2 linked regions of the Macaca mulatta genome follow. The protein of the gene in region 1 binds, or shares a complex with, the protein of each later gene. Links are inferred from orthologs where the notes say so. Each region holds a gene or a part of one and is shown on either strand. Other genes may lie near its edges. The genes, in order: TLR4 and LY96.

Region 1 (3,917 bases):
GGAATATTGCTCAGCTTTAAAAAGGAAGGATGCTTTGATCTATACTACACAGAAATGAACCTTGAAGACATTATGCAAAGTGAAATAAACCAGTTACAAAAAAACACATACTGTATGATTCCACTTCTAAGAGATACCTAGAGTAGTCAAAATTATAGAGACAAAAAGCAGTGCATAGTTTCCAGGGGCTAGGGAAAGGAGAAATGGGGAGTTATTGCTTAATGAATAGTGGTGATTGTACAAAAATATGAACGTAATTAATGCCACAGAATTGTACGCATACAAATGGTCAAGGTAATACATTTTATGTTATGTTATGTTATGTCATGTCATGTTATGTTATGTGATTTTACCATAACAAGGAAAATGGGGGGAAAAAAAAGAAAGAAAGTAAAACTTAGTAGTTTACGTGACTTGACCAATGCCTCGAGGCCATGAGTCACCCAGCTGAGATCTGAACTTCAGTATATTCAATTCTGAAGTCCCAGACTTTTCCCAATCTTCTTGTACTTTTCAGTGTTTCACTGGAGCTTTATTTTCAGTTTTATATGTGAGTTTCTTCACAAGAAGAGGTGGACCAAATTGCATCCTTGCAAAAACTTATATATTGAGGTCCTAAACCCCCTGCCTCAGATTATGACCATATATGGAGAGAAAGCCTTGAAAGAGGTATGTAAGGTAGAATGAGGTCATTATGGTGGGCCCTCATCCAACATAACTGGTGTCCTTATAAGAAGGGGAGATTAGAATTTAGACACAGTTGCTGACATCTTGAGTTCAGACTGGAAGCCTCTAGAATTGTGAGAAAATAAATCTCTGTGGTTTAAGCCACCCAGTCTGTAGTAATTCATTATGGCAGCCCCAGCAAACTAATACAAATAGTGTTTCCACAGCTGAAACAAACTGGAAAATCACCATCATCCTAGAGAGTTGCAAGGGCTATTTTAACAGCATCTGATGGTTTTCCTAAATTCGCCAAGCCCAGACAGAGGTCAGATGACTTCCTGGGATAAAAGCCAACTAGCTTCCTCTTGCTGTTTCTTTAGCCACTGGTCTGCAGGCGTTTTCTTCTTCTCCTTCTAACTTCCTCTCCTGTGACAAAAGAGATAACTATTAGACAAACAAAAGTCCAGAATGCTAAGGTTGCAACTTTCACTTCCTCTCACCCTGTAGCCCAGAACTGCTTTGAATGTACCAATTGCTGTGGGGCACCGGCTTGAGGAAGAGAAGACACCAGTGCCTCAGAAACTGCCCGGTGAAACGGTGAAACGGTGAGCGAGCCACGCGTTCACAGGGCCACTGTCGCTCACAGAAGCAGTGAGGATGATGCCAGGATGACGTCTGCCTTGCGCCTGGCTGGGACTCTGATCCCAGCCATGGCCTTCCTCTCCTGCGTGAGACCAGAAAGCTGGGAGCCCTGCGTGGAGGTATGTGGCTGGAGTCAGCGCCTCTGAACTCTCCCTCACTTCTGCCCAGAGCTTCTCACTGTGTGCCCTGGTTTATTTTTGCAAAAAAAGAGTTAAATTACCTTAAAGACTCAAGAAGCCACAGAGATCAAGTAATTCATTGTTAAAGGGCACTAAAGGCAGCCAATGGGGGTTTGTTCCATTTGGAGATTTTGAGTGCTAACAGGTTTGTTCCATTTGGAGATTTTGAGTGCATTAGGTTACGTAGATCTGCGTAAGGTCCCTGCTCTGCTACCTTGTGGCTGCGTGAAAAAATTATCAAACCTGTCTGAGACTAGCTTTCGCATCTATAAGAGAATTATAATACCTTCTTCACCAGAGAATAAACAGACTGCTTCAGTGTCATTTCTTCCCACCGGTGGTCTTTACACTCAGCTTCAAGCAGTCCCCCTGCTCCTGTTAATCTCAGGAAGAAGATGGCTTTTGTGTGTGTGTCTCTACAGAAAGAACTTTCTAAGTGGGTGTCAGATTTCTGTATGCAGTCATATAGTTTAGTCCAGAGGATGAAAAAAATAAGAGAATGAAAAAGGAAAGGAGAGAGAGAGAAGAAAAAAGCAAGAGGGAAATATGTATAATATCAGCTATTGCAACAGTTTGTTTCTTGGTGAAATACCAATCAGCTGGTTGATAATCTTATTCATGATGGATCTTTTTTGTTTTTCCCCTGCACAGACTTCACAGTTGCTTTAGAAACCCATAGTAGAGCCGAACAGCTAAGAAAATGATTTACAGTGAGGCAGGGTCAGAAACTCAAGAGAGGCAAAGCCAGCTGCAGTCCTGAAGTTGAGGATAGGGGAGAAAATCAAGTAATATTTAGCAAAGACCAATTCATTATCTCAAAGCCATCCCTTCCCTCAATTCCCCGCCCATAGTCCTCCTCCTTGTCTTCTTCTCTGTATCCCTCTGCTGTTAGGTTAGTGGAGATAGATTTTCTAATTAGGCTCACTGCGAGATAAAACCACAGCCAACCTTGACTTCTTCTTTTCCCCATGTACGATTTCCTGTAAGTCCCTGAAGCCTGTCCATACCTGCCCATCCCCTTCTTGCCACTGTACGGCAGGCCCTCATTTCCCCTGGCGTTGACTCTTACACAGTGACTGCTTTCCTGATTCCAGTCTTCTTCCTTTAATTCATTCTGCACGTTCTTGTTTGTTATGTATTTGCATTTGTTGTTATTATTTTTCCTTAAGCTTTGATCTAACAAAATATCTCCTTAAAAACTTTTGATAACTCTCCATTGCCATTAGGACAGGTTTCTACCACAAGGCCTTTGCACTGGCTATTTCTTCTACCTAGAATGCTAGATCAGTGCTATCCAATGGCAATATTATGTGAACCACATATGTACTTTTAAAGTTTTTAGTAGCCTCATTAAAAAAAGAAACAAGTGAATTTAATATTTTTATTTAACTTAGCATATTTAAAATAATGTTTAAAATTTTAATATATATTTACCTATTACTGATATTTTACATTCCTTGTTTGGTACTAAATCTGGAATTTAGTATATATTTTACATTTACCATGCATCTCAATTTAGACTATTCACGTTTCTTGTGTTTAATAACTGTGTATGGCAAGTGACTACCGTATTGGTCAGTGCAGCCCTGGTCATTTTCATGGTTTAATCACTCCATTCAGATTTCTGCTTACATGTCCCCTCCTCAGGGCAGTCTTCCTTGATTGCCCCATGTAGAGCTCTCCAGCCTCACTTATTTGCCTCAAATTCCCTTTTATTGCTTTATTTTTTTTTTCCGGAGCACAACATTTTATATTTTTTTTTTTTTGTTTATTTTCTCTCTCTTCCTTTGTAACGGAATTGGCAAGGACCACTATATTTCCAGTGGTCAGCACACAGTAGCCACTAAATTTATATGTGATAAATGATTGAAATAATTGCTGCAGGACAAAGTCTGAGGCCCTCCTGATCTGGTTTGCCCTCTTACTTAGGTTTCACCACTCCTACCACTCACCAGCTAATCTAAGTTTGTTTTCCACTCTTTCCATGCTCATGTTGTCCTCTCCTTACGACATGTTTTTTCTTCCCCTTTCCACATATCTAAACCTTACTCATCTTCCGAGACCCACTTTAAAATCTTCCTTTTCTGGGAAGCCTTTCCTGAATACGGACTCGATCTCTGCTTTCTCTGAACCACAGGACAAATTTTCTAAGCCTATTTTACGGCCCCTTGAGACAGTATTAGCTTTGCTCCCATCTAAACTCTTACTCTAGACTGTGAGTCCATTGAAGTCTGGAGCCACATCGTATTTTTCTTTGTAATGCCCACAGCGCTTGGCAGAAAATGTCTACAATGTGGACTTAAGTAAACCTTCATTTAATCAGTTATTCAATCAGTTATTGATTCAGCAAATATTTATTGAGCATCAACCATTTGCCAGACACCATTCTGAGTGCCGGAGACAAAGCAGTGGGCAAACCCACTGAAACTT
Region 2 (3,872 bases), on another chromosome or scaffold:
TAGGTTGCATGCTCCTTATGATAATCTAATGCCTGATGATCTGGGGTGGAACAGTTTCACCCCAAAACCATCCCTCCCAATCCCCTCAGTCCGTGGAAAAATTGTCTTCCAAGAAACTGGTCCCTGAGGCCAAAAATGTTGGGAACTGCTGGTATACAGAGCTGTGGGAGAGAAGAGCAATGCAGAGGGAAAAGGAGTTCCTGTCTGTTGAGACTTTCAGGGGGACCTAGGGACTGGTTTTGTTACAGTTGACTGGGAAGCGTCTTGTTTATTTTATTTTATTTTTCATTTAAAATATTTTTCTGAAATGGAGTTTTGTTGCCCAGGCTGGAGTGCAGTGGTGCCATCTCGGCTCACTGCAACCTCTGCCTCCCAGGTTCAAGTGACTCTCCTTCCTTAGCCTTCTGAATAGCTGGGATTACAGGCGTGCGCCAACCGCACCTGGCTAATTTTTGTATTTTTAGTAGAGATGGGTTTCACCACGTCAGCCAGGCTGGTCTTGAACTCCTGACCTCAAGTGATCCACCTGCTTTGGCCTCCCAAAATGCTGGGATTACAGGCGTGAGCCACCACATCTGGCCAAAGTGTCTTGTTTTATTTTTAAGGCTTTGATCACTCTCATTTACAGTAAGTATTTGAAGAGTACATTCTAAATCATTTTTCTCTCTTCCTTTGCAGGAAGTGCTCAGATGTTAAGCACACACACACACACACAAAGAGGAAACAGTTGGATAGGAACTCAGAAATCATGTGACCGATGACTAAGTTAAATATTTTCTGCTTACTGAAAAGGAAGAGTCTGATGATTAGCTATTGATCCTCTTTGCATTTGTAAAGTTTTGGAGATATTGAATCATGTTACCATTTCTGTTTTTTTCCACCCTATTTTCTTTCATATTTACTGAAGCTCAGAAGCACTATTGGGTCTGCAACTCATCCGATGCAAGTATTTCATACACCTACTGTGGTAAGTAAAACTGCAAAACAAATAATTGTAGCATCAACTATTTTGAGGGTAAGTTTTCACAAGAACCTTACACTGTTGTGGCTGGAACACAGGAAATGTCAGTGTGTTCCAGCTGCTGTGGCGGACGCCGCCAGCAGGAAAAGCAATAGCTGGCAGCTACCCCGTGAGAATCTTTTCGACCCTTCACAGACTCGCGAGTCTCTAAACTGTGCTGTGCTTGACCTCCAAGTGCTTCTGTTCCCTGTGTCATCTTTCTCTACCCTGAGCCCAGTTTCGGGTTCTGCCCAGTTTCAGTAAAACCGTCTGCTTCTGAGCTTTCGCCTCAGCCTTGACACTTACTAGTTCTTCTTCTTGAGATGGTAGAGCAATCCCAGCTGCTTCCTGTAGTTGATTTCTGCTCCAAGCTGTGACTTTTGAGGGCTCTTGGAATCATCTCCCTAACTGGATGTAAGCCTGTTTCTGTCACTAGCTGTGTGACCTTAAGCAAAGTACTCCAGCCTTTTTAGCACTAACGTAAAAGTTTATAGCCTACTTGATAAGGGTGTTGTGAGGTGAAGTTTTTTAGCACAGGGTCACGTAAAGACAATACTCTTAATTTTTTTTTTTGGAGTCAGCCATACCCTAGTGCTATTCACTGGCTGTATCACTGTCCGCTGCCCCAGCTGCTCATTAGCAAGCGTCCTCGGGTCTGAAGGCACAGTGTCAGGCCTGACAGCTGTTTTGGTTCGGTACTTTCCACCGTGCGGCTCACCATGGATTGGCTGCCCTTTTCCACCCGCTGGCACTATCCGGAAGGTTTAAAGTGGTGCTTCCCAAAATACCAGTTCTTTGAGATTCTTTTGGGAAAATAGGATCTATGGCCTAATCATCTGGGAGAGATTTACAGATGTACTTTGAGTTCTGAGAAGTTCTGCAGTAAAGGCACCTGTTTAACCACAACATTTTCAATTTCATTTGTTGTTTGTTTGGTTTTTAGTCTGGAGTGTATGTTAACTCTCTTGAGAAACATGCTCTGCCAAATGCTAATATAAAGTGACTTTCGGGAAATTGGGATAATTGCCACATGTGAGAAGGAGACTTAGGAATGTGGCCAGTCACACACCATGGCCCTTCTTCTCCTGGTGGGTTGCACTGAATTCCCTCTCAACGTATCTCTAAAATCTCCCCATGCTACAAGATCCTTTTGCATTCCGCTCTTCCAGCAAGGCTCCTACTCTACTTGGCCCCCACTTCCCTTTCCTCCTTTGGCCCTTTTGTACCATGTGCGAATTACGCCACTCTGTGTGTGTGTGCATGTGTGTGTGTGCGCGAACGCATGGAGTTTTGCTCTGTTGCCAGGCTGGAGTGCGGTGGCATGATTTTGGCTCATTGCAACCTCTGCCTCCCAAGTTCAAATCATTCCCCTGCCTCAGCCTCCTGAGTAGCTGGGACTATAGGTGCATGCCACAACACCTGGCTAATTTTTGTTTTTTGTATTTTAGTAGACACAGGGTTTCACCATGTTGATCAGGATGGTCTCAATCTCCTGATCTTGTGATCTGCCCCCACCGGCCTCCCAAAGTGCTGGGATTACAAGCATGAACCACCTCACCTGGCTTATGCCACTCTTTATATGATCTTTATGGATATAACATTTTGTATTATTATTTAGCTTTTAGTCTTTTCTTAACAATAACTCAATTTGTCTTTTAAAAACATTTCACATTTTGTAATATTTTATCATTTATTTTTGAGACAGGGTTTTGCTCTGTTGTGCAGGCTGGAGTGAGTGGCATGATCTCCACTAACTGCAACCTACACCTCCCTGGCTCAGGCCATCCCCCTAGCTCAGCCTTCCTAGTAGCTGGGACTATAGACATGTGCCACCACGTGTCTTGGTTAATTAATTAACTTGGCTAATTATTAATTAATTATTATTTCTTTTGAGTTTCACTCTTGTTGCCCAGGCTGGAGTGCAATGGCGTGATCTTGGCTCACTGCAACAACTGCCTCCCGGGTTCAAGCGATTTTCCTGCATCAGCCTCCTGAGTAACTGGGATTATAGGTGCCCACCACCTATAATTTTTGTATTTTTAGTAGAGACAGGGTTTTGCCATGTTGACCAGGCTGGCCTCGAACTCCTGACCTCAGGTGATCCACCCACCTCGGCCTCCCAAAGTGTTGGGATTACAGACGTGAGCCACCACAGCTGGCCTAATCATTAATTTTTTTGTAGAGATGGAGTCTTGCTATATTGCCCAGGCTGGTCTAGAACTCCTGGGCTCAAGAGATTCTCCCACCTTGGCCTCCCAAAGTCCTGGGATTACAGATATGAGCCACTGCACCTGGCTTAAAATTTCACATTTTAATCACTTTTGAGTGTTTGGCTCAATTGTATTAAGTATATGCACATTGCTGTGAAACCATCACCATTGGTTTATCTTTTTATTTGACTTTCTAATTTTTTTTTTCTTTGAGACAGTCTCACTCTGTCTAGACTGGAGTGCAGTGGTACAATCTCAGCTCACTGCAACCTCTGCCTCCTGGGTTCAAGCAATGGTCGCGCCTCAGCCTCCTAAATAGCTGGGATTACAGGTGTGCACCACCATGCCCGGCTAATTTGATTTGACTTTATGAAGGAGGATCTTCCTACTTTCTCTCTGAGAAATCCTGTGGTCCTTTCCTGCTGCCCCACTGACAAAGGGACTGTGGGCAAGCCACTGGAATACACATCTACAGCAAGATGCTGCTTGCTGCCATCCCCACTGCCATATGACTGCCTTCCCGGCCTGAGAGAATCCATCCCACCAGGCCAAAAATGCATTATCTGTGGGAAGCACTGATTCCTCTAGGTACTATTGTGATTCCTCTAGGTACTATTGTGAGGGTGTTGGTGACAACAACCTCTGATTCACTGTGACGATGA

The links.
Region 2: the proteins of TLR4 (region 1) and LY96 are in contact, whole or in part, in a crystal structure (PDB 4G8A), measured with the Homo sapiens proteins. The link is inferred for Macaca mulatta from reciprocal best matches to the Homo sapiens genes TLR4 and LY96. Residues at the interface, in NP_612564.1 of Homo sapiens: Gln39, Met41, Glu42, Asp60, Ser62, Phe63, Asp84, Ser86, Arg87, Thr110, Gly111, Val132, Val134, Glu135, Asn156, His159, Ser183, Ser184, Asp209, Leu212, Arg234, Val259, Glu262, Phe263, Arg264, Asn265, Glu266, Arg289, Ala291, Tyr292; in NP_056179.4 of Homo sapiens: Met40, Tyr42, Ile66, Pro67, Arg68, Arg96, Ser98, Asp99, Asp100, Asp101, Tyr102, Ser103, Phe104, Arg106, Leu108, Lys109, Gly110, Glu111, Thr112, Thr115, Thr116, Ile117.

Annotation. Positions count from the first base shown.
Region 1 is NC_133420.1:40,572,978-40,576,894, reverse strand, and holds the start of TLR4 (toll-like receptor 4 precursor), read left to right. Parts: upstream 1-1,334; coding exon 1,335-1,427; intron 1,428-3,917.
Region 2 is NC_133413.1:84,569,268-84,573,139, forward strand, and holds the start of LY96 (lymphocyte antigen 96 precursor), read left to right. Parts: upstream 1-855; coding exon 856-967; intron 968-3,872. UniProt on the Homo sapiens protein: Binds bacterial lipopolysaccharide (LPS). Cooperates with TLR4 in the innate immune response to bacterial lipopolysaccharide (LPS), and with TLR2 in the response to cell wall components from Gram-positive and Gram-negative bacteria.